7 linked regions of the Xenopus tropicalis genome follow. The protein of the gene in region 7 interacts with the protein of the main gene of each other region in a pairwise test. Links are inferred from orthologs where the notes say so. Each region holds a gene or a part of one and is shown on either strand. Other genes may lie near its edges. The genes, in order: pla2g4a, hmbox1, zc2hc1c, rchy1, apbb1, pih1d3 and kat5.

Region 1 (3,931 bases), about 82 Mb from region 7:
GAGACCAAACTGACCTCTCCTAATTTTACTCATTCTGATCTGTTCTGGGCATAAGGAACATTGTGTTTCATATAAATCCTTCACAGATAAAACACACCTTGTGTTTGTATAATTAACTCACCATCTGCTGATTTTACACTCGAGTTTTATGCAAAAGTGTTAAGCTGTTTAAGGTAGACTATACCTTCATTTTTTATTTTCCATTTGAGCTTGTTTAATGGAGTTATTAAGAGCTGTATAACTTTGCTTCTCCCTGTAATGGCGACAATGCAGACTTCACAATGCAGACAATGCAGCTTGTGGCACATAATGCCTGTGCCTGCACCCAGGATCTCCCACTGATACAAACAAATAAAGGCCAAAATAGCTTACCAGAGCTGTAGCTTGTTTATAAGTCAATGGAGATGGACATGGGAGCTTTTCAGACAGCTAAAATATTGTATCTGCCAAGAGCTGCCTGTGCCATTAGTCTTTTCTATCCTGTTTTATGCTTACTTATTACATCTCATAAGTGTCTGTAGTAACATAATTCCTTTGCAAAAGCAAAAGGGACAAGACCTACTAGTTCAGGGTGTAGTAAACCCAATTCTGCTGAACAAGGTTGGCTTTTTTAAAGGACAAAAGTGTGTGTGTCCATGTGAGTGTGTATGTGTTTTCTGTAAATATGGTAATGTTAAATCTGTGTTTGAATTGCTGCCCCTTTTAAGACATACAGTAGTTCTTGGAGCATGCTGATCATTAAGCTAGGCATAACACAGCCAAGCAGCAAATGAAGGGAAAAGTACAAAGATAAATGCCAGTACATCCAGGCAGGACTGGAACACTTTATGTGATGACAAAGTATATAGTGTCAGACTGGTGGCCCCTGGGCCCACCAGAGGAACGGACCTCCAGGACTCAGCCAACATCGCCCACCTCTCCTTGTAGATGCAATAACATAATAATAATAATAGGTGGCTAAGATTTTTCTTTATGTATAACGCAGGGGTAGGGAACCTATGGCTCGGGAGCCAGATGTGGCTCTTTTGATGGCTGCATCTGGCTCGGTGCCAAATCTTTAATAAAAAAAATAACGGGGGCTTGGCCTGTGCACAGCGTATAGAAGACGTGTTCTAAGCCTTAGAACATGTCTTCTATCCGCCAAGCGCAGGCCATGCCCTCCTCCGCATTCGGCATCCTTGGGACCCACCCTACCTTGTCCCTGCGCTCGGCGGATAGAAGACGTGTTCTAAGCCTTAGAACACGTCTTCTATCCGCCAAGCGCAGGCCACGCCATCCTCCGCATCGCATCCGGCATCCTTGGGACCCACCCTACCTTGCCCCGCCGCATCCGTGGCCAAACATATTGTATGGCTCTCACGGAATTACATTTGAAAAATTTGTGGTGTTTATGGCTCTCTCAGCCAAAAAGGTTCCCGACCCCTGGTATAACGGGTAACATGTTTCTTTCTCAGTATTGTTTTTTATTATCTTTAGTGAAAGTTTAATAAAATTTTAAAGATTAAATGTTATCTTTATTAAGATTTTTTTTATGTTTCTTTGATTCAAAAGGAATTCAGACATATATCCTTGTTATTTCAATGATGATAGTATTTCTGCTGACTCATTGGAGGTCAATTTTTTATTCTGCTGCTGTACAAAATTCCCCACTGAAGCACGCAGCCTTACTGTGTTAGGAAACTGAGATGATCATAGCGCTCTTCATGAGTGTCTGTTTTTAAAAAAAAAATCTTACTTTCCGATGAGGATTTTAAACATTCTAAACATTTACTTCCGTCAAAGGAACTCCTACTTGCTGAGAAATGGGCAAGGATGAATAAGCTGCCCTTTCCAAAAATAGACCCGCATGTCTTTGACCGAGAAGGACTGAAGGAATGCTACATATTTAAACCAAAAAACCCATCAGTAGAAAAAGATTGCCCCACCGTCATTCATTTCGTCTTGGCTAATCTTCAGTTCAGAAACTTTAAGGCACCAGGTAAGATTGGCTAAAAGAAAAAAAAGCAAACTGTTCTCCCCATTCCTTTTTCCAATTACCATTGTTTAGTAGGTGTCAACAGTGAACCATGGTTATTAGCTGTACAAAACATAAGATGGGTCTGATAAACCCATTTAATAAGTGACCTTTCTTGACAGCAATGACACACGATATCTCAGTGCATGCCAGAAAGCTATTTCTCACGAACTGATACATCATATACAATTATATACCAGAATATTCTATTGTATGTAGTTCTGGCTTTTCATGTTGTTTTAATTGCAGAATATCACCACTGTCCCTCTAGGGCAGGGTAGGCTGCAATTTTCTCAGGAATGCCCTTTTCACAAATGTTGGTAACGCATTGGGGACTATTGTGAATACTACATTAAACCTCATTGTTGTTTCTTTTTAAACCCCTTGCATTTCTAAGTATTAATGCCCATATTAAATGATTGCCCTGGTACTTAATACCCTGTGAAAAATATGACAGATAACATATCCGTGTCTGGCTTAATAAATGGTCACTAAACTCAAAATACAAGGATCAATATGCAATTAAAGCTTGTTTAAATGCTGTACATAATCTTGTTATCTTCTTAAAGGACATCTGAATGCACTTATGTAAAATGTACAATGTGCAAAAGTTTAACGACTTTGGCATGCAGTGTGCTTGATTGACACCAGCAGAGCCAATCAAAATACCAGGCATACAATTTACAGGAAGTCAAATAGCACTCTGCATGTGACTGTCACCTAAAGCACACCTGTGTATGGATGTTGCTTAAAAAAAACTTAAAGCCTGGAAAATGGATTTTCTAACACGCTAATAGCATTGTTGGTGGTTTAAAAAGATTTGGACATTGAAATTTGAATTGCCAGTTAGATTAAACTTTAGAACATATCCTAACAGATTATTATTTACCCATCATTTGTTTATAAAATCATAATGTACAGGGTCATTATGGGAGTATGTGCTGGTTTCTTCAGTTTCACGTCCTCAGAAAGCTACTTTTCCCAACCCAATAACTAGTAATTCAGATTACAAGGTGGAAATGCAGACCATTGGAATTGCAGTACAATTACAATATATACACTTAATTAGATGCAGTGGTCCAGTTTTCCATTTCTGATAATTACTATTGAAGCAGTTGTGCTAAATGTTCATTAGTGAAATAGATAAATGCTTCCTTACATGAATATCTTCAGGCCATCACCAGAGCAGCACCCTACCTATGGAATACATTACCCTACAACATCAGACATTCCCTACCCTACAGAGTTTCAAATGTTCTTGCAAAACTCACATCTTCCATGAAGCTTGCACAATAACCTGTTGACTACTAGTAGCTCCCTTACTCACATTCATTTTTGTACCTAAGTATCACTCCCACATGAAAGAAGACATGACATACTATGCAATACTATGCAACTTTAAAATACTTGAGAGTGGAAAGAGTGGCATTCCTAGACTGTGTGGGGCCCCCTGCAAAAAAAACTTTGGAGGGGTCCAGTGCACAAGGCAAGCACTACCTGCCCCTCCTATTGGCCACCTGCCCACCCCTCAGAAGAGCAGTGGGGAGGTGGGTTTGCTAAAGCTATTGAGGAAGCAGAGCCTGCGGTCCAGGCCCCTGTCCCCCTGTGCCCCCCATGGCTGAGGAGTCTGGTTCCTCTATAGTTATGCCACTGAGTGGAAGCATTAATATTCTGTACAAATATTTATTAAATCCGGCTGCACTTAGTCTCATGTATATCTGTTCACCCAGTAATGTTCACTCCAATCATGGAATTGTGTGCTAGTAAAGCTGTGGTGACTGCTTTACTCACAATGTAAGGTTTAGGAACTAGTGAGGTTCTATAGGGCTGGCTGCAATCAAGCCTGACTGTGTTTTATCAGCTAAATCTAATTATCAGTTAACTTTGGTCAGTTGGTTAATCAAGGACAATTACAGG
Region 2 (4,501 bases), on a different chromosome or scaffold from region 7:
AAGGAACCCCTCGGGGGCTTATAATATCCCTATATGTTACAATAGGGGGTACTTTATTCACTATATATTATAAGGAACTCCTCGGGGACTTATAATATCCCTATATGTTACAATAGGGGGCACTTTATTCACTATATATTATAAGGAACTCCTCGGGGGCTTATAATATCCCTATATGTTACAATAGGGGGCACTTTATTCACTATATATTATAAGGAACTCCTCGGGGGCTTATAATATCCCTATATGTTACAATAGGGGGCACTTTATTCACTATATATTATAAGGAACTCCTCGGGAACTTATAATATCCCTATATGTTACAATAGGGGGCACTTTATTCACTATATATTATAAGGAACTCCTCTGTGACTTATAATATCCCTATATGTTACAATAGGGGGCACTTTATTCACTATATATTATAAGGAACTCCTCGGGGGCTTATAATATCCCTATATGTTACAATAGGGGGTACTTTATTCACTATATATTATAAGGAACTCCTCGGGGGCTTATAATATCCCTATATGTTACAATAGGGGGTACTTTATTCACTATATATTATAAGGAACTCCTCTGTGACTTATAATATCCCTATATGTTACAATAGGGGGCACTTTATTCACTATATATTATAAGGAACCCCTCGGGGGCTTATAATATCCCTATATGTTACAATAGGGGGTACTTTATTCACTATATAACAGGATGTGGACCCCTTAGCAACAAACACATGTGCATTAGCCCATAGCAACCAATCAGCTTTGATCAATTTAGAGCAGGTCAGACTCATGGAAGTAGATTGGCTGCTATGGGTTACTGCACTTTTGCACCACTCTTACTAAATACCCTGTCAGAGGGTAAACTGACATCTATGTACATCTGATGGCCATATTTAAGTGAGGGTAGGGACTTTGTCAGGGAAGGGACTAGAGAGGACCTGGAGCCCACACACATAAAACAGAGGAATGGGCACATTTAGGACCTGCTATTTACTCGCAGAACTACAACACTGTTGGGGGATGCTGGGAGCTGTAGTTCAGGCAAAGGTTGGAAAGGCGCCATTTGGGAAGCACATTGCGGATACAGACACGCCAGGGCATATCATATCTATAAAGGCATGAGAGAAAATATAAGAACCCAAAACCATGAATCTCACCAGCTTCATCTTTGCCTTGTCCCCGGCCTCACCGCCGAGCGCCCCTTTTTCTGGTGACGCGATGGTTTCTGGGACTTGTAGTCTCTCCGGCCCATAACTCGCTGCGTCAGTGTGACGTACGCTCAGCCAGGCGGGATAGGGCGGTAAGAGAGAGACTGGCGCTCGGCATGCCGGGTAGTGTAGTTTTCCTGCTTTCGCCTTCCGCTCGCTCCCCGGGGAGAGTCTGGCTGCGCCGAAAACTACAACTCCCAGACTCCCGCGCAAACATTCGGCTGGGAGCTGCGCGCTGCTGAGTGCCAACATGGCGGCGGGGTGGCAGACAAAGACGGGTCGGGTTCCGATGTGAGTCCCGGAGGCGGGTGGGGGAAAGTGAGCGCGTCGGGCACCGAGGGCTGCTACTGGCACTCCGACTGGCATAGGACTGGCATACATTCTCTTTCTGCCCGCTGGCTGCGGGCTCGGCAACCGGACTCATGTTGTGTGGGAGAGAGTGAGCGCTGCTCGGCACTCAGGTAAGGTACTGGCACCCCCTGCTCTCCAGCAACTCCTGCACTCTGCCCCGCTGCACTCTACTCTCTCTGTCTCACTCTCTTACTGCACTCTCTCACTGTGCCACACACTGCCTGACTGTCTCTTACTACACTCTCTCACTGTGCCACACACTGCCTGACTGTCTCTTACTGCACTCTCTCACTGTGCCACACACTGCCTGACTGTCTCTTACTGCACTCTCTCACTGTGCCACACACTGCCTGACTGTCTCTCACTGCACTCTCTCACTGTGCCACACACTGCCTGGCTGTCTCTCACTGCACTCTCTCACTGTGCCACACACTGCCTGGCTGTCTCTTACTGCACTCTCTCACTGTGCCACACACTGCCTGGCTGTCTCTTACTGCACTCTCTCACTGTGCCACACACTGCCTGACTGTCTCTTACTGCACTCTCTCACTGTGCCACACACTGCCTGACTGTCTCTTACTGCACTCTCACTGTGCCACACACTGCCTGACTGTCTCTCACTGCACTCTCTCACTGTGCCACACACTGCCTGACTGTCTCTTACTGCACTCTCTCACTGTGCCACACACTGCCTGGCACCCTTGCCTCTCTTTCTCACTCTGACTGGCACCTACAGCACTCACTCACTGCTCTCTCACCCTGACTGGCACCTACAGCACTCTCACTCTGACTGGCACCTACAGCACTCTCGCTTGCTGCTCTCTCACTCTGACTGGCACCTACAGCACTCTCACTCACTCACTGCTCTCTCACTCTGACTGGCACCTACAGCACTCTCGCTTGCTGCTCTCTCACTCTGACTGGCACCTACAGCACTCTCACTCACTCACTGCTCTCTCACTCTGACTGGCACCTACAGCACTCTCACTCTGACTGGCACCTACAGCACTCACTCACTGCTCTCTCACTCTGACTGGCACCTACAGCACTCACTCACTGCTCTCTCACTCTGACTGGCACCTACAGCACTCACTCACTGCTCTCTCACTCTGACTGGCACCTACAGCACTCACTCACTGCTCTCTCACTCTGACTGGCACCTACAGCACTCACTCACTGCTCTCTCACTCTGACTGGCACCTACAGCACTCACTCACTGCTCTCTCACTCTGACTGGCACCTACAGCACTCTCACTCACTCACTGCTCTCTCACTCTGACTGGCACCTACAGCACTCTCTCACTGCTCTCTCACTCTGACTGGCATCTACAGCACTCTCTTACTCTGGCACTTACAACACTCACTGACTGCTCTCACTCTGACTGGCACATCCTGCACTCACTGCCCTCTCACTTTGACTGGCAACTCCTGCACTCTCTCTGTGCCTGCCCCACTGCACTTTTTTGCCTTTTTCTTTTCGCTTGCTGCACCCTTATGTTGTGTTGACACTTTTTTAACTTTTAAGCCAAGCCCCTGGCAGTTTCACGCTGAACCCATTGAACTTGCATCCTGCCTGGCACATTATATACCCTGTGTTGCCTCTCACCCCCTGCACTCTCCCTGCTCCTGCCCTGTTGCACTCTCCCTGACATGGCACTTGCTGCACTCTCGCTGCTCCTGCCCTGTTGCACTCTCCCTGACATGGCACTTACTGCACTCTCCCTGCTCCTGCCCTGTTGCACTCTCCCTGCTCCTGCCCTGTTGCACTCTCCCTGCTCCTGCCCTGTTGCACTCTCCCTGCTCCTGCCCTGTTGCACTCTCCCTGACATGGTACTTACTGCACTCTCGCTGGTCCTGCCCTGTTGCACTCTTCCTGACATGGCACTTGGTGCACTCACTCTGCTCCTGCCCTGTTGCACTCTCCCTGACATGGCACTTAGTGCACTCTCGCTGGTCCTGCCCTGTTGCACTCTCCCTGACATGGCACTTAGTGCACTCTCGCTGCTGCTACCCTGTTGCACTCTCCCTGACATGGCACTTAGTGCACTCTCGCTGCTGCTACCCTGTTGCACTCTCCCTGACATGGCACTTACTTGCTGCCGGGTATGTTGCTGTATGTGACAGTGCACACTGCACAGGTGTGGATGCCCCTCTCGGCACTCTCACACTATTCCCTGCCCAACTGCACTCTTCTGACTGCTACTTTCTGTATTGACATTGCCCCTGCCCAGCTGTGCGCTCACCTTTCTCTCTTTCACATAATTGTCTGTCCCTTGTGCAACTCTACACTCTCAGACTTCTTTCACATATACGGCACTCTTGTACACCGTCCCCTCTTTAAACTGCGCTCTGTTTCTTCCCCATGTGCCAACTGCTCTGTGTACAGCTGTCCCCCACTCACCCCTGTAGCACCCCGCACATTTACCCTGCCCCATATACAACTTGCCCCTAGCACTTCTCCCTGATACACATTGCTGAATGGCACCCCTGCTTCTATCACTCATGTTTGTTTCATGCCTCCCTCTCTGCCCGGTCCTTGCACCCTGACTGACCTGCACCCTAGTCTGATACTTGCACCCTCACACTTCAGCCCGATGCCTAGGCACTGCCTTGCCAGCTAGCACTTAGCTTTCATTTGGACAAAACCTTTAAACTTGATGGTTTCGTGTCTGTTTTCCAGCCATAATTCCTGTGTATGTTACTATGTTGCCCAGTGAAGCCTGATACTTGTACTCATTGCACTCCTCGCACTGCACTAACATGCTGCTGTTTCCCTGCACTCTCACCCCACTTCATGTACTCTCAAACCTCCCTCCCTGGTATGTCTCATATGGACTTTTCTTCTGCCCAGCTGCACTCACTCTCATCTGTCACACTCATCACTCTGCCTGCCATGGTGGGTATGTCCCAAGTTTGGTCTCCACAGCCTTAGGGCTC
Region 3 (3,931 bases), on a different chromosome or scaffold from region 7:
ATGGTCCATGTTTCTCTCAACACCAGATATTACTTTTCATTTCAGGTATTGGTATGTCTAAACAGAGAGTGGTACAGTACTCTGAAGTAATGTATGAAACAAAGTTGCCTATGCTAAAAAGAGAGTTACCAGCACCAAAAAGTCTATCCAAGCTTGAAAGAATGAGAAATCAGTATCAAGAGAGGGTCAGTAAGGAAAAAGAGGAGAAACTATTGACCCTTTTCACAAAGCAGCAAGAGCATACTACACAGAAGGTTCATGGATCCTCCTTACACACTGAAGAGCTGCGTCATAATCCCCGCAGCAATTTTAATGTCCATCATAATCCCCCCAGTTTGTACACAGCTCAGTGGCCAGAAGAAAAAAACTGGGCCTCAAACTGGATTGTTTCCAAACGGAGTGCTGGAGTGGATAGAGCACACCCTCTGAAACCTGTCTTTCACCCAAAGGACCAAAGGAGTGTCAGAACAGAGACAAGTCTTTACCGCTCACAGTCTGCTAGTTCTGCAGGGAACAAACTGACAATTCCACACCCAGAAGAACATATACGTTTGAAATCAGGGCCCAGCAGGCCAGAAGTATGGTTCCAACTGCAAAACTCCGAGCTGAGTTTGGAAGCCGAAATCCGTAGAAAGAAAGCTTTATTGAAAGAGAAATTGCGTAGAACTGAAGAGGAATTGCGCAGAATCCAGAGAGAAAAGGAGGTGGCAGAGCTGGAGGATACAACAGTTCAAGGAATCCCAGAAAGAAATAGAACAATGGGCAAACTTGATGAACAGGTTGGGAAGTATTTGCATAACCTTGATTTTACATTAAAGGCAAAAGAGAAGTCCAGTAGGCATTTTAGAAATCAAAATTTGATGCCTAAGGAGAAAGATCCTCAAACAAATCAAGAAGTTCCAAACAACATGACAGAGAAAGAACAGCCTGTTTACAGAGGTAGAAGCCCACAATATGCAGCTAATTTCAAAGAAGAAGAGAAAAGGCAAATGCCTAAGGATGTGCCTCAGGATGATGCACCAGAACCATCAGCAACAGAGCTGCTTCCCTGTAACTTGTGTGGACGACAATTTCTAGCACATCGTCTGGAAAAGCATACTCAAGTTTGTCAAAAGATGCAGAAATCTAATCGAAAAGTATTCGACTCATCTAAAGCACGAGCCAAAGGAACAGAGCTTGAGCAATACTTGCAAACCAAAGGAAAAACTCGGCCGAATGTTCCTAAGGTCAGCTTTATTTGCTTACAATCCCATTTAATGACAAGGAAAGTAAAATGTCTAATGCCTATTGGTTTTCTACTCTTCTTGACCCTCATTGCTATGTTACTCTTTTATTGCTTCAGTCTCTGTAGCTTGAAATGCTCCTTTTGCATCTGTCTGTCCCTTAGGGCCTTTGATGGGTGAGCATTTCAAGAGGTGCTAATACACATGCACTGCCATCTAATGTGTAAGTACATTGCAGGGCTAAAAAGATGGCAGCACAGATTCAGCAGTTAAACAGAGAACTACAAGGGCTGTGAGGGCCAAGGGGACCTGCTCTACATAACCAATAATTATTCATTAATTAACTTTACTTGTCCTTTAATTTGTTCTGCATCTTGAATCTAAAATGTATTTCTGTTTGTCTTGCGAGGAGCGGATTTCAGCATAAAAACGCTTATGTGCCTATTTTACTGCCAAAATTTGCTCTTTTTGTCTGCACTCGGGCACTGGAGCACTAAATTTTAGTTTTGTAAAGTGATGTAGTTTTATGATGTGCCAAACACAGGTGGAACGCAACTAGTTTGAAAAAAGGGCTGCATTTCATTATGCATTCCCCTGAGGTGAAATGCATGAAAAGAACCAGGTGGGGTCTTTCAATGGGGGTGCTAATATAAATGTCTCAGGACCAATGCTCCTTTTTAGGAAAAAAGACTAACATAGTGCAATCTTTTCCATGTGACATCATCAAATTAGACATATGTGTGTACCGTATTATAGAATCCATACTAAGGCCACCCAGCTGGCCTTAGCGTAAAAGCTGCTTAAAATTGCACCGTGGCGCGGTTAGTTTTCTCTATGGGCTTGTGCATATTTTTCCTAAGGAGCACCGAACTGGGGATGCCTAAGATCTTGGCATCTCCTCAGTGAGTGGGGATTTAAGATTGCAGTGGCAGGACAGATAAAACAGAAATATTTTCTATTTGCGTCGTTGGAATAGGAACAACTTGTATAGGAGAAAATCTTTAATTAATGATCAGTTCACTTATGCATAAAATATGATGCACATTTCACACATAACACAAGAAAATCATTTTAAGAAAACTGATTTTCATGATGGTGTTATGTAGATGTTCAGCTTAGTGGTTAGCACTACAGCCTTGTAGCACTGGGGCAGAGCTCAATTCTGACTAAGGCAAAATTTGCAAAAGTTTGTGTGCTCTGCCTGTCCTCCAGATCCTCTCAAACTAAAAAAAATAAATATATTGCCTTTTGGTGTAATATAACCTAGTATGTATATTGCAAAAGTGTGGTAGGTATATAGTGAATTCCACTGGAGCACAGACCAATATGACTAATGAACATTCTTTGTAAAGGGTTGTGTATCATTTTAGTATAAATAAAAGATAATAATAATACCATTTGCAATTTTCTTTTAATCAGCCCCCAAGATTCACCTGATTCTTCTCTTTTTTCCCTCCAATTAGGTACAGAGCAATGCATGGCGGCAAAAGCATGAGTCGTTTCAGCAAACAATTCGTCATGCACGTACAGTGCAGCAGGTTATAGCCAAGGGGGGAAAACTGTCTGATCTGCCTCCCCCTCCACCTGAGGAAAACCCAGATTATGTAACTTGTCCTCACTGCAATCGTCGTTTTGCCCCACGAGTAGCAGAAAGGCACATCCCTAAATGTGAAAATATTAAGAGCAAACCACGACCTCTTCGAAGACGCTAACGTTGAATGGACTGCAAGTAAACAATAATATGTTTGTGCTTTTTGTAATATTAAAGTGTCTGTTTCTTTTTGTAAAACTTGTATCTTTGAAAAACATCATTGTCACCCAGGAGATGTTCTTATTCAGTATAGCCCCAAATTTGTTTTGCATGAATCTAGTAAATGATAACATGGTAATAGTTGCAGTGTGTGTGTAATGATTTAAGTATGGATTTAGTTACTAAGGGCAATGGCACACATCAGCCACAGTAAATCTGTACTACTCTGGGTAAAAATCTCCCATTTGCTATTGTATATCATTAGGATTGTTTGTATGCGGTGATCAAGCTTATTTACAAGGAAATGCAATTTTCTGTGATTAAGTGGGAATGCATCTTAGGGAGGTTTGTCACCCATGGTAGCTCAGATTTACCATGGGTGAGCATTCTTACAGTGTGCCATTGCCCTAAAACTGAATTTGTGATTAGAAAACATAATGTTACTACAATTTATACAGAAAGCTCCCCACACAAATGATTACAACAGTTCATAATTCAACATGTAAGATTATATGATTATCATGACTTACAGTTTTAGGCCACATTAAAGGAGAAGGAACGGTAAAATCAATGGTGACAGCCAAATGTTAGGCGCCCCCAGTGATTATAATCACATACCTCATACTCAGGGCTGACGCTCCTGTCAGCAGAAACCTGTACTGGCCAAGGGACTTCTAAACGAGCACCATGGAACAATTGTCTTCTTCCATTTCTTCATTCTTCAGTGGCCCCAGGCCAGTAGAGTGAAAAGGCTGGCTTTTTGCTTAAAGGACATGTAAAACCTACATTTGCCTATAATGTATATCAGTTGGGCAAGTCTCCCCCACCCAAATGTCATCTTTTGTACTGAAAATATCCCCTCCGTTTGGCAGCACCATCACATTTTCCTAAAGCAAATAGCAACTTTTGCCCGGTGGCCATTTTCCCTCTGATACATAACCAGATACATTTAACTCTG
Region 4 (4,382 bases), on a different chromosome or scaffold from region 7:
TATATACTGTAAAAATACAGTATATACCTTAGGGTAGTAAAATAAAATCGTATTAGTCACGATAATATTGTATTGGCGATCCGAAAGTCACAAAATTTTCGTACTGAACAATTGTAAACACTGGGAAAACTTTCTGATTTTTTCGCACAACCGTATGAAAAAGTCGCGCAAGCATACGAAAAAGTTGCACGGGCGTCGAAAAAGTCACGCAAGCAGCGAAAATACGCTCAGAGCGTTTGTGTCTTAGTAAATCTGCCCCTTGGTATTGTATTGCTGGTAAGTGTGTTGCTTTATATTTGAGACAGCTCAGTGGAGTCTGAGCCTCTAAACCCAGCGCGTGGCCAATGTATTTTGTATGTGAAGTTGTGTGTGTGAGAATCAGCAGAATGTAAAGGCAGTTATTGTTGCCCTTCACAATTTCTTTTACTCTGGCTACAGGTTTCAAGTATGTAAGCAGTTTGTCATGAGGGTGGTGCTCTATATTTACAGCAATAAATATACAGCATATATGAAGATATAGTAAAAATCATGGGCTGGTACTGCAATTACCCTGACGTGTTCTGGTTTTTTTATTGATTAATCTGACATTGCATTTATTCTTGGTGTGTATAATACATTAAAAAGAAATGTAAAAATGATTCTCAGAAAAATGCTATCATCCTTCTAGAATTATTTATACATAGCTTCCCCAAACACAAAAACCATGCTACGTCTATGAAGAGGGTAGTTTCAGACGGGGCAGGAGCTATAGAGAATGTGACAGCCATATCTGTAAAGGTGGCCATACACGCACCGATATTATCGTACGAAACCTCGTTTCGTACGATAATCGGTGCGTGTATGGCATGTCAGCGAGCCGACCGATATCGCAGGAAGCTGCTGAAATCGGTCGGCTCGCCGATCGGCCAAGTTAGAAAATTTTGATCGGGCGCCATAGAAGGCGCCTGACCAAAATTCTCCCTTCAGAGCTGAATCGGCAGAAGGAGGTAGAAATCCTATTGTTTCTACCTCCTTACCTGCCGATTCAGCCCTGAATGGTGTGTGGCGGATCTGACGATGTTTCGTGCGACCGATGGATGGTCGTACGAAACATCGTCGGATCGCCACGTGTATGGCCAGCTTAAGGCAGGGATTGTCTGCGGTATGACACAGTGACTGGTCCATTTAATAGGACATTTCTGCGCCTTCTCTAAACGATTAGGCAGAATAAGTACGAGTATTCGAACTCCCCGATATCATGTCAGAGATGAACAAAACTGAAATACAAATAGCGCGCGTTATTGCGTATGAGCCGTACTGTACGGCACTGTCCCCACCCCTAGCTCCTCCCCCTAGCTTCCGCTTCCTACGCTCACACTTATGGCTTCGGGCTGTCCCTCTGAGGACATGGAGGTGACGGGAGGCTGCGAGCATTACAGTCGGGGCTGCCAACTAAGGGTGAGGGAATTCGGGAGCCAGGGGGTAGGGATCTGGGAACTAAACGGTGCGGGCAGTATGGGGAATTGGGGCGGGGCGTATGAGTTTGTGAGAGATCAGATCGTAAGTTGGTGTGTCACAGCTCGTCACTCAAACTACAAGTCCCATCAGCTGTTTTAAAGGAAGTGTATGCGAAGCGATGTCGGGAGTTGTAGTTGCTAGCATCTACCTGTCTAGTAGTGATCGTGGCTCGATCTATTCGAGTCATGGATAATGTGAAATGTGTTGCAAGTAGACGGCCAAATGCTTGGAGCTGCGATTTAGCGTGTATGCCAGCTATATAAAAGCAATAAAAATTTTGCATCCTACTTAAAAACAATTGTGGATTTTTGTAACATTTCTTTGTATCCCCCAATTTCTGATACAATATGACGTATCTGTGGGATTGAATGACCCCCACCTAACACACGCACACTGTATAGTAAGCAGCCCAGATACCCTTACCATAGAATGCCATGCAAAGCTTTCCTTTCTTCAGATTATTTATGTAATGCCACTATAATCAGCACATGTGCTGGAAATAGTGTTTATATTTCCGAGCTGTCTACCAACCCTATGTCTAAAGAGAATTAATAATCCACTCCAGGATTGATACTTTATTTCATGCTTTCAGCGTGAATAGGAACTCACACCTAAAAATACGAGTAGTCTGTTGTGTATGTGTGTTTTTTAACAAATGGTTATGGCTTAAGGCTGATGCCAGACGTGGCGTAGGGCTGTTATTTTCGGCAAGCGGAAAAACGCTTGGGAAAATACAGCCCTACGCCTGCTACTTGTGCCTGCACCCGAATGAATGAGATACGCTCGGGTGCAGGCACATGTAGCCGATATACACATGAAAATGCGAGACTTTGCATTATCTTGTGTTTTCATGCGTTTATCGGCTACATGTGCCTGCACGCGAGCGTATCGCATTCATTCAGGTGCAGGCACAAGTAGCAGGCGTAGGGCTGTATTTTCGCCAAGTGTTTTTCCACTTGCCGGAAATATCAGCCGTACGCCACGTCTGGCAACAGCCTAAAGATTTATTTTCTTTGCCACTTGGTGAGGAACTAAGGAATAACATGGTTTCTCTAACATATAGGAGCTCTCTTTGTTCAACTAAATATATTCCATATTGTACGACTTTGTTGCTGGTCCTAGTTGTAAATGTGAATGCCCATCGTGTGTGATCACCGCCAGAAAGCTGTAGAAGAGATTTCAAATGGCCTGACATGATGCCTGTAGCTCTACTATATTTCACAGACAAAAGGAGCAAGATTGGGGAATGTGGATTGCACGTTTTTAGAGGGGGGTTCTGCAAGTATAGATGACTTTCCTTGTCCTAATCTGCTGATGCACCTTGTTGGGGACACTGGTCAAATGAATTGCTTTAGTACTTTATAAATACAGCATTTTATCTTTCAGGCCCCTTGCTGTGGAAAGTTTTATACCTGCCGCCTATGCCATGACAGCAAAGAATCGCACAAGATGGACCGCTTTAATGTCACACAAGTTCAGTGCATGAAATGTAAATTTGTACAAAAGGTAACTTTTATTCTTGGGGTTTTTGTTCAGAGTCTGATGACTTGTGCTTAATACATATTAAAGATCAGATCAAAGTTGCTTTTTTTTTCCCAAAGTCAATCTGTTTAAATAAATCTGTTGGTTCATGTCCAACAAAAAGGTCAGTTGACTGAATTCTGTTAACCATCTTGTTGACAATATGATAACATTGAAGCTACATTGTTTGCATGGCAAGGAATTCTAAGGTGTAAAAGCTCAACAGCATAAGACATGTGACTACATTTAAGAAAAAAAGATAAAACCCCAGTATGTCTGAATTTCTTGTTTATTTATGTTGTAGGCTCAGCAAACATGTGAGCAATGCCATGCGGTATTTGGTGATTATTACTGCAATATATGCCATCTATTTGATAAGGACAAGAAGCAGTATCATTGTGATGGATGCGGTATATGCAGGTAAGCTGAAGCCTAGCACAAAAAAATTTAGTCTGTGATTCATTACAATAGTTGCTATGTTTGTAGCAGTTGAAGAGTAGTGTCTCTTTTATGACAACATATGTGTCGTAACTCCATACATACTGTAACTTTACATAGGGTGCTTCTTCATGTGGCCGTTTATGGTCTGATAAAGGGTGGCAACTTGTCCCATGTTTGTGAGTATGTTTAATATCAACAGATTAAGGCTACTGTTGCATATGGTGCTCTCACCACCATTGTAAAAATGCCAGTGGGAAAAAACAGCAATTCAGCACCCTCTGCTATAAATGTGTGGGCTTTGACAGGACTGTAAACTGCCTATTAAGCTGGCCATACACGCACGGATAATATCGTACGAAACCTCGTTTCGTGCGATATTCGATGCGTGTATGGCAAGTCGGCGAGGCGACCAATATCGCAGGAGGCTGCTGATATCGGTCGACTCGCTGATCGGGTGAGTTAAAAGATTTTGATCAACGCCATAGAAGGTGCCTGAGCAAAATCTGCCTTCAGAGCTGAATCGGCCGAAGGAGGTAGAAATCCTATTGTTTCTACCTCCATATCTGCCGTTTCAGCCCTGAACCTTAGTGGACGATTGGAACAATCTTTAGTGCGACCGATCAAAAATCGCCACATGTGTGGCCACCTTTAGTGTGCTCATGATGCTTTTTCTGGTCAAAATCTGCACATTGAGAGGCAGATAACAATATTGTCAGTCATTACATATGTGGAGCAGAGGGTGGATAAATTGAATGTGTGACAGTAGCCTTATAGTGCTAAAAAAGTCCCAAACTTAAATAGTATGGTCTAGAATTATAATGGTTGGAAAGGAAGGTTATTAATCTACTTTGTGGAACTAGTTGTATGTTCTTTATTTTAGTTCCCAGCATTCCATAGTTTACATGGACAGGTAGTGAGTGCAG
Region 5 (3,314 bases), on a different chromosome or scaffold from region 7:
GAAGGGGCAGGCGGTGTTACTATGGGCAGTGAGAGACTGGATGCTTTCTGTGCAGGGATGGAGGTGATTAACAAGATGCTGCAGACTGCACTGGCGAGGAGTAAAGCCGACTGGATTCCTGTCACCGTTAATGTGGCGGCTGCAACTGTCACCATCACCCGGCAACAGGTCTGTATGGGCCCCGGGGTGTCCCCTATTCTCCCCTTACTGCCCCCCCCACCTGTGGTTTTACCCCTCCTTCTACTTCGTTCCCTGTCTCCTTCAGCTCTATTGCCCCCTTACCCATCTCACTATTGCCCCCTTACCCGTCTCTCTATTGCCCCCTTACCCGTCTCTCTATTGCCCCCTTACCCATCTCTCTATTGCCCCCTTACCCATCTCTCTATTGCCCCCTTACCCGTCTCTCTATTGCCCCCTTACCCATCTCACTATTGCCCCCTTACTCGTCTCTCTATTGCCCCCTTACTCGTCTCTCTATTGCCCCCTTACTCGTCTCTCTATTGCCCCCTTACCCATCTCACTATTGCCCCCTTACCCATCTCACTATTGCCCCCTTACCCATCTCTCTATTGCCCCTTACCCATCTCACTATTGCCCCCTTACCCATCTCTCTATTGCCCCCTTACCCATCTCACTATTGCCCCCTTACCCATCTCACTATTGCCCCCTTACCCATCTCACTATTGCCCCCTTACCTGTCTCTTTATTGCCCCCTAACCCGTCTCTCTATTGCCCCCTTATCCATCTCTCTATTGCCCCCTTCCTGTCTCTGTATTGCCCCTGCCCACTCACTGGCCCCGTTTGTTTCTCTTTGTGGGACCCCTCCCTGCGCCCAATGTGTTGTGTTCCCCCCAGCCTGTCAGTATTGCCCCATGTGCTGCCAGAACCACCCCTTTATACCCCCCTGTGTCTCTGACAGACGGAGGAGCCGCTGAGTGAGTGTCGGGTCCGGTTCCTGTCGTTCATGGGGGTCGGGCAGGACGTTCGCACATTCGCTTTCATCATGGCCGACGCCCCGGGGCAATTTGTGTGTCACATGTTCTGGTGCGAACCCAACGCGGCCCATCTGTCCGAGGCTGTGCAAGCGGCCTGCATGGTGAGAATCTGCCCCATAGCTATTGCCCCTGCCCCCATCTGTCCGAGGCTGTGCAAGCGGCCTGCATGGTAAGAATCTGCCCCGTAGCTATTGCCCCTGCCCCCATCTGTCCGAGGCTGTGCAAGCGGCCTGCATGGTGAGAATCTGCCCCATAGCTATTGCCCCTGCCCCCATCTGTCTGAGGCTGTGCAAGCGGCCTGCATGGTGAGAATCTGCCCCATAGCTATTGCCCCTGCCCCCATCTGTCCGAGGCTGTGCAAGCGGCCTGCATGGTGAGAATCTGCCCCATAGCTATTGCCCCTGCCCCCATCTGTCCGAGGCTGTGCAAGCGGCCTGCATGGTAAGAATCTGCCCCGTAGCTATTGCCCCTGCCCCCATCTGTCCGAGGCTGTGCAAGCGGCCTGCATGGTGAGAATCTGCCCCATAGCTATTGCCCCTGCCCCTCAATTTTGACCCTCCCATTAGGTCTGCCCCTCCCACTGGGGCCTTAGGTTTGTCCCTCCCACTGGGGCCTTAGGTTTGTCCCTCCCACTGGGTGCTGAAGGTCTGCCCCTCCCACTGGGTGCTGAAGGTCTGCCCCTCCCACTGGGGGTTTAAGTCTGCCCCTCCCACTGGGGGTTTAAGTCTGCCCCTCCCACTGGGGGTTTAAGTCTGCCCCTCCCACTAAGGGCCTCAGGTCTGCCCCTCCCTCAGAAATTCCTCATCTAAGGACACTGCCAATGCCATTCTAGGATTAAAGCCAAACTATCCGATTAAGCCCCGCCCACCTGCTGCACATTTAGGACTATGGGGGGGGGGGGGCTGATTTGTACCAGGGGCCCCAGTGTAGCCCAGTGAATGCCCCCCCCCAATCTGTGTTTCTTCTGCTGCACATTTAGGACTATGGGGGGGGGGGGCTGATTTGTACCAGGGGCCCCAGTGTAGCCCAGTGAATGCCCCCCCCCCCCCCAATCTGTGTTTCTTCTGCTGCACATTTAGGACTATGGGGGGGGGGGGCTGATTTGTACCAGGGGCCCCAGTGTAGCCCAGTGAATGCCCCCCCCCCCCCCCCCCCCCCCCCAATCTGTGTTTCTTCTGCTGCACATTTAGGACTATGGGGGGGGGCTGATTTGTACCAGGGGCCCCAGTGTAGCCCAGTGAATGCCCCCCCCCAATCTGTGTTTCTTCTGCTGCACATTTAGGACTATGGGGGGGGGGGGCTGATTTGTACCAGGGCCCCAGTGTAGCCCAGTGAATGCCCCCCCCCCCCAATCTGTGTTTCTTCTGCTGCACATTTAGGACTATGGGGGGGGGGGGGGCTGATTTGTACCAGGGGCCCCAGTGTAGCCCAGTGAATGCCCCCCCCCAATCTGTGTTTCTTCTGCTGCACATTTAGGACTATGGGGGGGGGGGGCTGATTTGTACCAGGGGCCCCAGTGTAGCCCAGTGAATGCCCCCCCCCCCAATCTGTGTTTCTTCTGCTGCACATTTAGGACTATGGGGGGGGGGCTGATTTGTACCAGGGGCCCCAGTGTAGCCCAGTGAATGCCCCCCCCCAATCTGTGTTTCTTCTGCTGCACATTTAGGACTATGGGGGGGGGGGCTGATTTGTACCAGGGGCCCCAGTGTAGCCCAGTGAATGCCCCCCCCAATCTGTGTTTCTTCTGCTGCACATTTAGGACTATGGGGGGGGGGGCTGATTTGTACCAGGGGCCCCAGTGTAGCCCAGTGAATGCCCCCCCCAATCTGTGTTTCTTCTGCTGCACATTTAGGACTATGGGGGGGGGGGGGCTGATTTGTACCAGGGGCCCCAGTGTAGCCCAGTGAATGCCCCCCCCCAATCTGTGTTTCTTCTGCTGCACATTTAGGACTATGGGGGGGGGGCTGATTTGTACCAGGGGGCCCCAGTGTAGCCCAGTGAATGCCCCCCCCCCCCAATCTGTGTTTCTTCTGCTGCACATTTAGGACTATGGGGGGGGGGGGGCTGATTTGTACCAGGGGCCCCAGTGTAGCCCAGTGAATGCCCCCCCCCAATCTGTGTTTCTTCTGCTGCACATTTAGGACTATGGGGGGGGGGGCTGATTTGTACCAGGGGCCCCAGTGTAGCCCAGTGAATGCCCCCCCCCAATCTGTGTTTCTTCTGCTGCACATTTAGGACTATGGGGGGGGGGGGCTGATTTGTACCAGGGGCCCCAGTGTAGCCCAGTGAATGCACCATGAATAGTGGGGGGGGGGGGGG
Region 6 (4,587 bases), on a different chromosome or scaffold from region 7:
AGTATTGGTTTTTGGTGTCCCAAAGCTAAATCCTCCAGCAGAGGCAGCACCAAAGTTTAAGCCACTCATAGTGGTCAATTCTGTGGAAGAAAATAAGTGCAGATTTATTTAAACTTTTTGTGGATAAAAGAGACACTAAAGTGACATTTAAATCCTGTTCTAAAGCTCTGGGGGCTAGACAGTACTTTTCTAAAGCAGGAAAAAAAAGAACCTAGTTAAAAAATTAAGCTTTAGTAAAGGTGGCCATACACTGTAAAATAGTTTGCATATTTGGAGAAGATCCAACCTAAAGCCAAACAACTAAACTTAAACGGTGGGCAAAAGTGACATCGGACTGAGGACCATATCTACAAGGCACTGTGGTACCTGATCCAACGGAAAATGAAACATGCCCAATTGGGATCTAGCCAATTTCGGAGCAGATGTTGGTCGGGCAGGGCCATCGGGGGTGCCCATGCACGGGCAGATATGCTGCTGAATCTGTCTGAAGGTCCCGTATCTGCAGCAGAAATCTGCCCAGTGTATGGTCACCTGTGGAACATATTGGCATTTTATAATTATGTGGTGTTGTTAATAATAATAATAATAATAATAAAAATAATATAGGCAGAATTTCCATTGCTTGAACCTATAGGAAATAACTTGCTGGTGATGATTTTACTCATTCCCATCCAGACTGGCAAACTGGTCTCAGTAAAACAACAAGATTTTGAGTATTAAATCCCCATAGGATTCAATTAAACTTGGAAAGTTTGACTACAGTACAAAATTCCATAGCTTTGTATGTATGTCTTTATTTATAATGAACACAGCGCTGTACAGTGGAACAATGCATTAACAGAACAAACAAGGGGTCATTACAATAATAAATACTAAGTACGATCATAAATACAAATAAAAAACTAAGTACAGTTGCATTAAAGACTCCACAGAGTTAAGTGTCAAAGAGACAAGAGGGTGGAGGTTCCTGTCCCCTTGAGCTTACAATCTAAATGGAAGGGTAACTGACAGGCACAAATAGGAAGGTATTTAGTACTGCAGGTCACAGTGGGTGATATTACAATATGTGTGGCAAACATTACAAGATCTGGCTACTGGTTTGCCATTCTCAAGATGGCATTCTAACAGCAGAAATGCGTAAGGGAGTGATAATCTGATTCCCTAACATTTGTAATATTGCTTTATAAACCGTCTCTATTGGGAAATACAGATGTTTAATCAGTCACGCTAAAATAACCAGTCTAGGGTTGGGCAATCTGAGGCTACTAAGTCTGACTGGTGACAACTGCGTTGTTCACTATCAAAACACGAAAGCCATGCTGCTAAGCACTCCTCAGCCGTATACACAGCTACTAATGATAACACAAGTTATTTTTTAGAACCAAGTGTTACATATAAATACCCCATGCCTAAAACCTGTCTTACTATGAGAAAGTGAATGAAAACAACTGCAATCATACCTTTACTCTTCTCTCAGCACTCCTGCTTGGCACTTCCGGGGGAGCGGGAAACCAAATCATACAGAGCCCACTGACAAGCTGGAACGCACGCATGGCGCAGGCGCACTGTCATGACGTATTTCCGAGGGGCTTTTACTCAGGCGACTTGTGCGAACAACTAAACCTAGAGGCGGAGCGACTGTGTTTCCATGGAAACCGAAGTATCAATTCTAAAAAGAACTGGAGTACAACTACAAACTAAGCAAGTATGCGTCTTTCTGACTTATAAATAGCAATTTGAAGGGGTTTTCGTTTATTTATTCTGTTAATACAGATTATATCTTTATAATGTTGTTGTGTGCCTAATTCTGGGCAACAATGTGGGAGCATGAAGAGCTTCTTAATCAGTAGTTTGGGACTTAAATATTGGGTTTGGGGTGGGTCAGTATTATGTTCATTAAAGAAAGAGGCAAAAAATGTATATAGTTTACAAAAGTTATATGGGAGGATAAATAGAACTGAAAAAGTGCTTATAAAACTAATGCCAAAGCATGATCATGGATTGTTTTATCATTAAAGTGCATCATTGCGGTAATATGTTAGTTTGTTTTCTGGCCGTAGTTTGAATATGGAACTCTCACTGGGTGAGTTTACATCTGCTGGGTCATTGGATGCCTTGTGTTCCCTGCTCAACCCTTCCGTAGAAGAGGATGAAGGTGACTGTAGGGTAAGTTATTCATTATTCTTTATATAGTGTCAACATATTCTATTCTGCAAATCTTTACAGAGATTATACAGGTATGGGACCCGTTATCCAGAATGCTCGGGACCTGGAGTTTTCCTGATAAAGGATCTTTCCGAAATTCGGATCTGCTACCTGCTAGTGTGCTAATAAAATTATTTAAACAGTAATTAAACCCAGTAGAATTGTTTTGCCTCCAATAAGTATTAATTATATCTTAGTTGGGATCAAGTACAAGGTTCTGTTTTATTATTAGAGAGAAAAAGGAAATCATTTTTAAAAATGTGAATTATTTGATTAAAATGGAGTCTAAGGGAGATGGCCTTTCCGTAATTTGGAACTTTCTGGATAATGGGTTTCCGGATAAGGGGTCCGATACCTATACATCATTCACATCAGTCCTTGCCCCAGTCGAGTTTATAGTCTAAGGTACTTATCACATTCACATAAACTATGGAAAGTTTAATCAGGATCCACTTTTTCTGATTGTATGTTTTTGGAATGTCTAAGGAAACTGAAGTGCCTGGAAAAAACCCATGCAGATTGCCCAGGGGCAGAAATTGAGCCTAGAATCCAAGTGCTGCAAGACAGCAGTGCAAACCATTGCACCACTGTGTTGTAAGTTAGTAGACTGCACTGAGCAGTCTTGTCTTTTTCCATGTAGTGGACCACTTATCTAATATGGCTCATGGAAATTTAAGGCATTTGCTTTGTATTGAAAAAGCCCTAAATAGCTCCAAAAATCTAAAAATCTAATTTTAGTGTAATTGTGAATTGGGTACATTTGCTAATTTTCTCATCCTGTTTTCCATGCACTCTTCCCCTTCGTCATTTTGTCTAATAGATTTCAGATCATTAACAATGTGTTCATATTGACTAGAAATGGAGAAAGCATCTGACAAATGGCATGAACTGTGGCTTCTTTCCTTTGAAATTAGCACTGTGCCATTATCAGCAGATGAACATTGTAGGAGTGTGCATGAGGTAAATATGAAAATATTAACTTATATAGGGCACTCTCTTGTGATAAATCATATTATTGCACTTAAAAAAGTATGGAAAGATAGACTTCTGATCAGGGTGTCAGCATCCAGGAATTTCATATCTGGTCTCCCACATTGCCTATATATTTTTGTAAAATACAGATGCCAAAGTGTACTCCCAAGTGAATAAAACCCAGTAATTTAATTGCTATTTCTGCAGCATCCTTGGGGAAGTCCCAAACTTGGTAAACCATATATTTCTGGGAAGGGGTTTTAAATAACCTCTCTTCATTGTTTATATGCCCCAAACAACATGGTGGATCCGCTTCTTAACAAAGGGCAGAACCAGCTAACTTTTCAGGTCTCAGCTGCCCAAGAGGGGAAACCGATGGTAGGACATACCAACCCTCCTCACCACTGGACAAAACCACGCTAAAACTGGGACACTTGGGATTTTTCACAGTCTCACCTTACATGTTCTTTACAGGGTCCATTAGCAGCATGTGTTGGGCCAGGAGATATTGGACCTGCAAGGAGCCATGAGCCAGGTGGGGATAGTAATTGCCTAAAAATGGCATATTACATGAATGCAATTCATTACTATATAGTCATTTGGGAAGTCAAACAAATGGAAATATAAACCAAATTGTTGGAAACCTCCACCCTTTCATTTTGAAGATGGAGAGTCTTTTTACAAACAGGCGCTTCACATTGCATTTACTCCCATATATATTGATTATTACATTTTATTTGGAATGTTCTGGCTTGACCTAAGTAGGATAAAACTTAAACTTGTTCAGCTTTAAATTAACTTTTAGTATGATGTAGACAGTGATATTCTGAGACAATTTGTGACTGGTTTACATTTTTTAATTTTTGTGGTTTTTCAGTTATTTAGATTTTTGATCAGCAGCTCTCCAGCTTAGAATTTAAGCAGCTATCTGGTTGCTAGGGTTTTATTTACCTGAGCAACCAGGCAGTGGTTTAAATGAGAGACTAGAATATGAATAAGAGAAGGACTGAATAGAAAGATAAAGAATAAGAAGTAACAATACCAATAACATTGTAACCTCACAAAGGACATATTTTTTAACTGCTGGAAAACTAAAAAGGTGAAGTGGGCACTAAATAATTTGAAAACTATAAAAAAATAAATAATGAAGACTAATTGCAAAGTTGTTGTGGAAAAGGACATTCTATAACATACTAAAGGTTAAATACTCCATTAAGTTATCTCATTACAGTTTGTGAGATATTTAATTCCTCACCCTAAAGCTAACTATTCATATGCTAGGTCCTCTATGAAACAAAAAATGGGATACTAAGAAAGTTCTTTCACTGTCAGTTTCAGAAATGGGCAGAGACAGGAGGAATATCTGGGATGAATCAGAAGTCACAGAGGGTGCAGAATTTGAAGACACAC
Region 7 (4,428 bases):
AAAACTATGTAAATACAGCCATAAGCACTCAGAGAAACGCTGCACTGAGTCCTCTATCAAAATAAACACAGGATTTCTTGTCTCTTTTTTTTGTAAACATTTTCTTAGGGTATCTGACTTCCTCTCTCAGAAAATCCTTCACTCCTGGGACCATAGTCTGCGCAGCTTTTTAACATTACTTGTCCTTATATATAAGGACCATCAAAAACACAGTATGACTGATAATGGACCCTCTACATACAAAAAGTTGAACAGCAATGCTACATCCTATCATAAACACTGAAATTATTTAGTATGTTAGATAAAATAGCACCCAACTGGATGACTTGGAGAAGAGGGAGGAACATGCAGGTATCTTTGTTTTAAAGAGGGCACAGGAAGAAACTGATATCTCCCAAAGCCCAAAGGAGCAGAGTGGCATTAGTTCTGCTAAAGCAATACTACCTGCTACTTTCTGTTGCACTTATTTTAGTAGTAAGGTGCAGGGATAACTGTTATGGTCAACATCATCCCTGCAAGACAGATTGACATGACCAGTTTCTTTGAGTGCCCAAGCACTTACCACCTCTCTCTCAGGGGAGCTTGGTCTTGATCCAGGTAGTCCATTCTTTGTTGGAGTTTTTGCCTCTTTCTTTGGAAATTGAATCTTCTTAAGATCCAAACGATCATGAGTAACCCACTCATCTAATCGCTTGTTAACTGGGGGGATTAATAGAGTAAAAAAGTAAAAAAAAGAGACTGAAATAATTTTACAAGAGAAAAAAATGCTAGCAATAAGAATTAGAAGAGGTTAAAAAATTTTAACTTCTGTGTTTACGTGACAAAAAGTCACATGAATTTTAGGATTCAGATTTGGTTCCACCAGGACTGTGGATTCGCCAAATCTGAATCTTGCCGAAAAAGGCTGAATCCCGAACCAAATCCTGGATTCGGTGCATCCCTACATTATAATATGCAAGCTAATTGATAACAGAATATATGGCATTTTCTAAAAAAAGACATGGACTAGCTATAGCAGAGTAAATGCTACAGACTGACAAAGTGGGCCTGATTTGGCTGGCCAATCAAGAAGCCTGAAAGAAAGTCTACAGAAGGGCTCTGACGACATAGGTGTCTGTGAATCCAACATACAGGAATCTGTGTGCCTGTACATACACAGTTGCCTGTGCAGAGGTCTGAAATATTGCTGCAATAGGTATGTCACTGGTATGGAGGGAGTGTCTTTTATACACTCTTTTGTCACAACTGTCACACCTGTATTGAATAAAAATTTGTTTCTGCATGTGTAAATTGCAAGAGGGCAACTGGCAGCTGATCTAAGCCTGCTGGTGAGCAGCACAATCTTGAATGCAAAAGAGTCAGAAGTGCTGTGTATATGAGGATATAAAGGATATAAACAATAAGCTGCTTTGCTGTTATATGTACAAATGCAGCTTCATCAGCCCCTAGCCCAGCCCGGCTCAATTCCTTTACTTCCCCTTTGCACATGTTTGCTGTTGAGCCTCATGACATGCCACAGCAAATCAGCTTTCACTATGCTCTGTCACTCACACAGAGATTCTGGAGGGTGGCGAATGGGAGGCTGCTTCAATAATTAGCCATAACTTTGTAACAGTGCAACATTTCTAAATGCTATACATTGTCAAAATGTTTGTCTAGATTTTATATTTTCAATATTCTAAAAACATTTTTCATGATTGCTCCCCTTTAAGCAGCTCAAGCCTAGTTTCAGTACATATCATTATTTAAGCCATGTATCCTGCATATTACTATATGTAATATGCAGGATATATGTAATACTAAGTGAAACATTAAACTCCATATTTAAATATAAACTTACAGTCTATATAATGCACATAGAATAGTTTCTTCCCTGTAAGTTCCTTGATGCTCAGAATTTCAGCAAGTGCTAGAGAGGATTAAACAGAGACAAAAGAAGTGGTTACAAAAACGGTATATTTTATTATGAATTACATTTTATTTCTTTGCTTCTTCACAAACCATCTGAATGAAAATTCACCATATAAATAAAAAACACACAGAATTCTACACTCTTGTAAACATAAACAAGTACAGGTATGGGATCCATTTTCCGGAAACCAGTTATCCAGAAAGCTCCGAATTACGGAAAGCCCATCTCCCATAGATTCTGTTTTAATCAAATAATGTAGAATTTTAAAATTGATTTCCTATTTCTCTGTAATAATAAAACAGTACCTTATATTTGATCTGTACTAAGATATAATTAATCCTTATTGGCGGCAAAACAGTCCTATTGGGTTTAATGAATGTTTTTGTGATTTTTTTCTTACGGTATGAAGAACCAAATTATGGAAAAACCCCTTATCCGAAATACCCTTGGTCCCGAGCATTCTGGATAATGGGTCCTATACCTGTACAAGCTATATTTCTGCAATATTTATTACAGTGCGTTTCAAGCTATGTAGTACTTACGCCATTCAACTTCATTATCTTGATTCTTGCGAAGTACAGGCAATCGGCAACCCTCCACAATCTCTGCCTGAAAATCAGTCACGGATAAATGAGAAACGGGCAACTTAACAGTGTATTATTTTAATGGCTGTATAATGTAGTGGCAAATACTTGTTCCTGACAGTTTATGTCCCCTTTAAATAATAAAGTACAACATAAAAGGTGTCAATGTGTGAGATACAATAACTAACAGCACATCTAAAAGGAGTAATAATGAGGAAATAAATCCTAGACAGATCAGCTGAAAAACAAATATAGAAAACCAAATGTAATATGGCTCAAGATGCAGTAATTTGTCTGAGGAAATCCTGACATAACATGGTCATTAATGGGGAATATAAATGGGGAACCTTACAAGCAATTGGAATTTGCATTCACAGCAGCTGATATACGGCCATGCAAGAAGCGACAGCCAATGTTTGGTCAATATGATTAAATGTTTCTATGGCCTCATAATACAGAGAGGTTCTCTTGACATAAAAGAAATGGATAACGCAAAATTCCAGCCCCTTTTCGTATCCTACGCTTTGCATGTAACTATATTCTGTGGAAATATCACCTACAATTGCGCATACATAGCGATAAGAGCTAAACAATAAATCTTACCTCCGCCATGATTTTGCTTTAAAGCGACTTCCTTCTTTCCAGCCTCGCAGCCGCCTCCCCCTTCCTTGACAACCGTATCGAAGGGCAAAGAAGTCGCGCCGGAATAAGCATAGCATTTTTACGAGCCTCTAAAACTCACCTTTGTCCTTGATTTGGAACAGGTTATGAAATTTTAAAGAAATATATTTTTTGTAATAACTGGAGCATACTGGACAAATATAAATATAGTATTAATTACCAGGCATTCGCCTGGGCAGCAATAGCAAAAAGGCGGTAATTGTTTCCCCTTTTTCGATTTGACACGCACCATGCGTTCCAGTGATAGCGATCCGCCCAAAACACTTCCGTAAACGGAGTTACGCATGTGTGTAATAGTAAAAACAGTGTAGTATACAGAGGTTGGTTGCGAATGTGTGTGAAACATTTATTCCCATCAAAGGGGACTCTAAAGGGATGTGGGTCCCAGTAAATTCTGGTTATGCCAATGCCTTTGTTTCTTTTCCTTGATGTGTGTTGTATAAGCAATGGCTAGTGAGAAATGACCTATGCTGTATGTAATGGAAATAAATTACGTTATTGATCATCTGGAACCACAATAGCTAAGGCAGAAGATTAACTTCTGTAACTTTAACACAAATATATAAAATTAATTTCTGATAAGCAGTGAAGTAACAGGTAAGATCAAATGGGCATTGTTCTAATATGCTCTGCTTTACTGTCACCTCAGCTCATGGACTGACAATATACTCTATTTATTGTTGTATATATAAACGTAAGTGAAAGCTGCTTAGTAGCAACAGGCAAAGACACAAGGACCCGGAGGTATAACAACAATAACCCAGTGGTTGCTTGGGAATCAAGAAATGTACAGGCCAGGCAAGGGTTCTGGATAATGCATAATTTCTATCTGTGAGAAACTGACATCTTCCTCAAAGTTTTAATGCCTAAAAAAACATTTTCTTGTGGGACCCAGTGTATAATGAATATAATGAATTTGAAACAACAACATATTAAAGAAATGCTCAGCTTTTTCAGAGCAGATCTATAATCGGACTTTAGAAACATGCTAAAAAGGGCTCAAAACAGAATTAAGTGTTTTTTCTTTTCTAGTATAACTGTTATTGCATTTAATTGCAAGGCTTTGTAAAGGTAACATTTTAAAGCAGAAGCACTGATGAGGTTAAAAGTCCTGCTGCATGCATAGGGTTGATCACCTAATTCCTATCCACTCCTAAACATAAAAAAAGACTATATAAAGAATGTTGTTATGCAACAGAAATTTTCTAACCTGTCCAACTAAACGACCAATTGCCATGGTATGAAAATTGT

What was found.
Region 1: the proteins of kat5 (region 7) and pla2g4a interact in a two-hybrid assay, tested with the Homo sapiens proteins (2 studies listed by BioGRID). The link is inferred for Xenopus tropicalis from reciprocal best matches to the Homo sapiens genes KAT5 and PLA2G4A.
Region 2: the proteins of kat5 (region 7) and hmbox1 interact in binary tests that used the Homo sapiens proteins (3 or more experiments, as listed by UniProt). The two-hybrid records come from large-scale screens. The link is inferred for Xenopus tropicalis from reciprocal best matches to the Homo sapiens genes KAT5 and HMBOX1.
Region 3: the proteins of kat5 (region 7) and zc2hc1c interact in binary tests that used the Homo sapiens proteins (3 or more experiments, as listed by UniProt). The link is inferred for Xenopus tropicalis from reciprocal best matches to the Homo sapiens genes KAT5 and ZC2HC1C.
Region 4: the proteins of kat5 (region 7) and rchy1 interact in a two-hybrid assay, tested with the Homo sapiens proteins (2 studies listed by BioGRID). The link is inferred for Xenopus tropicalis from reciprocal best matches to the Homo sapiens genes KAT5 and RCHY1.
Region 5: the proteins of kat5 (region 7) and apbb1 interact in binary tests that used the Homo sapiens proteins (3 or more experiments, as listed by UniProt). The link is inferred for Xenopus tropicalis from reciprocal best matches to the Homo sapiens genes KAT5 and APBB1.
Region 6: the proteins of kat5 (region 7) and pih1d3 interact in binary tests that used the Homo sapiens proteins (3 or more experiments, as listed by UniProt). The two-hybrid records come from large-scale screens. The link is inferred for Xenopus tropicalis from reciprocal best matches to the Homo sapiens genes KAT5 and DNAAF6.

Annotation. Positions count from the first base shown.
Region 1 is NC_030680.2:119,503,617-119,507,547, reverse strand, and holds part of pla2g4a (cytosolic phospholipase A2), read left to right. Parts: intron 1-1,782; coding exon 1,783-1,978; intron 1,979-3,931. UniProt on the Homo sapiens protein: Has primarily calcium-dependent phospholipase and lysophospholipase activities, with a major role in membrane lipid remodeling and biosynthesis of lipid mediators of the inflammatory response.
Region 2 is NC_030681.2:151,880,554-151,885,054, reverse strand, and holds the start of hmbox1 (homeobox-containing protein 1), read left to right. Parts: upstream 1-1,467; 5' UTR 1,468-1,674; intron 1,675-4,501. Other genes in the region: ints9 (integrator complex subunit 9), read right to left, coding at 1,163-1,171. UniProt on the Homo sapiens protein: Binds directly to 5'-TTAGGG-3' repeats in telomeric DNA. Associates with the telomerase complex at sites of active telomere processing and positively regulates telomere elongation.
Region 3 is NC_030684.2:82,259,316-82,263,246, forward strand, and holds the end of zc2hc1c (zinc finger C2HC domain-containing protein 1C), read left to right. Parts: intron 1-45; coding exon 46-1,226; intron 1,227-2,686; coding exon 2,687-2,935; 3' UTR 2,936-3,112; downstream 3,113-3,931.
Region 4 is NC_030677.2:79,548,158-79,552,539, forward strand, and holds the start of rchy1 (RING finger and CHY zinc finger domain-containing protein 1), read left to right. Parts: upstream 1-1,354; 5' UTR 1,355-1,359; coding exon of another isoform or gene 1,360-1,386; coding exon 1,387-1,437; intron 1,438-2,883; coding exon 2,884-3,003; intron 3,004-3,322; coding exon 3,323-3,438; intron 3,439-4,382. UniProt on the Homo sapiens protein: E3 ubiquitin-protein ligase that mediates ubiquitination of target proteins, including p53/TP53, TP73, HDAC1 and CDKN1B. Mediates ubiquitination and degradation of p53/TP53; preferentially acts on tetrameric p53/TP53.
Region 5 is NC_030678.2:180,027,831-180,031,144, reverse strand, and holds part of apbb1 (amyloid-beta A4 precursor protein-binding family B member 1), read left to right. Parts: intron 1-55; coding exon 56-168; intron 169-919; coding exon 920-1,096; intron 1,097-3,314. UniProt on the Homo sapiens protein: Transcription coregulator that can have both coactivator and corepressor functions. Adapter protein that forms a transcriptionally active complex with the gamma-secretase-derived amyloid precursor protein (APP) intracellular domain.
Region 6 is NC_030684.2:38,692,296-38,696,882, reverse strand, and holds the start of pih1d3 (protein PIH1D3), read left to right. Parts: upstream 1-1,603; 5' UTR 1,604-1,705; intron 1,706-2,060; 5' UTR 2,061-2,067; coding exon 2,068-2,166; intron 2,167-3,651; coding exon 3,652-3,712; intron 3,713-4,509; coding exon 4,510-4,587. Other genes in the region: nup62 (nucleoporin-62 C-terminal-like protein), read right to left, coding at 1-69. UniProt on the Homo sapiens protein: Plays a role in cytoplasmic pre-assembly of axonemal dynein.
Region 7 is NC_030680.2:37,908,643-37,913,070, reverse strand, and holds the start of kat5 (histone acetyltransferase KAT5), read right to left. Parts: upstream 3,117-4,428; 5' UTR 3,109-3,116; coding exon 3,100-3,108; intron 2,522-3,099; coding exon 2,455-2,521; intron 1,910-2,454; coding exon 1,841-1,909; intron 700-1,840; coding exon 563-699; intron 1-562. UniProt on the Homo sapiens protein: Catalytic subunit of the NuA4 histone acetyltransferase complex, a multiprotein complex involved in transcriptional activation of select genes principally by acetylation of nucleosomal histones H2A and H4.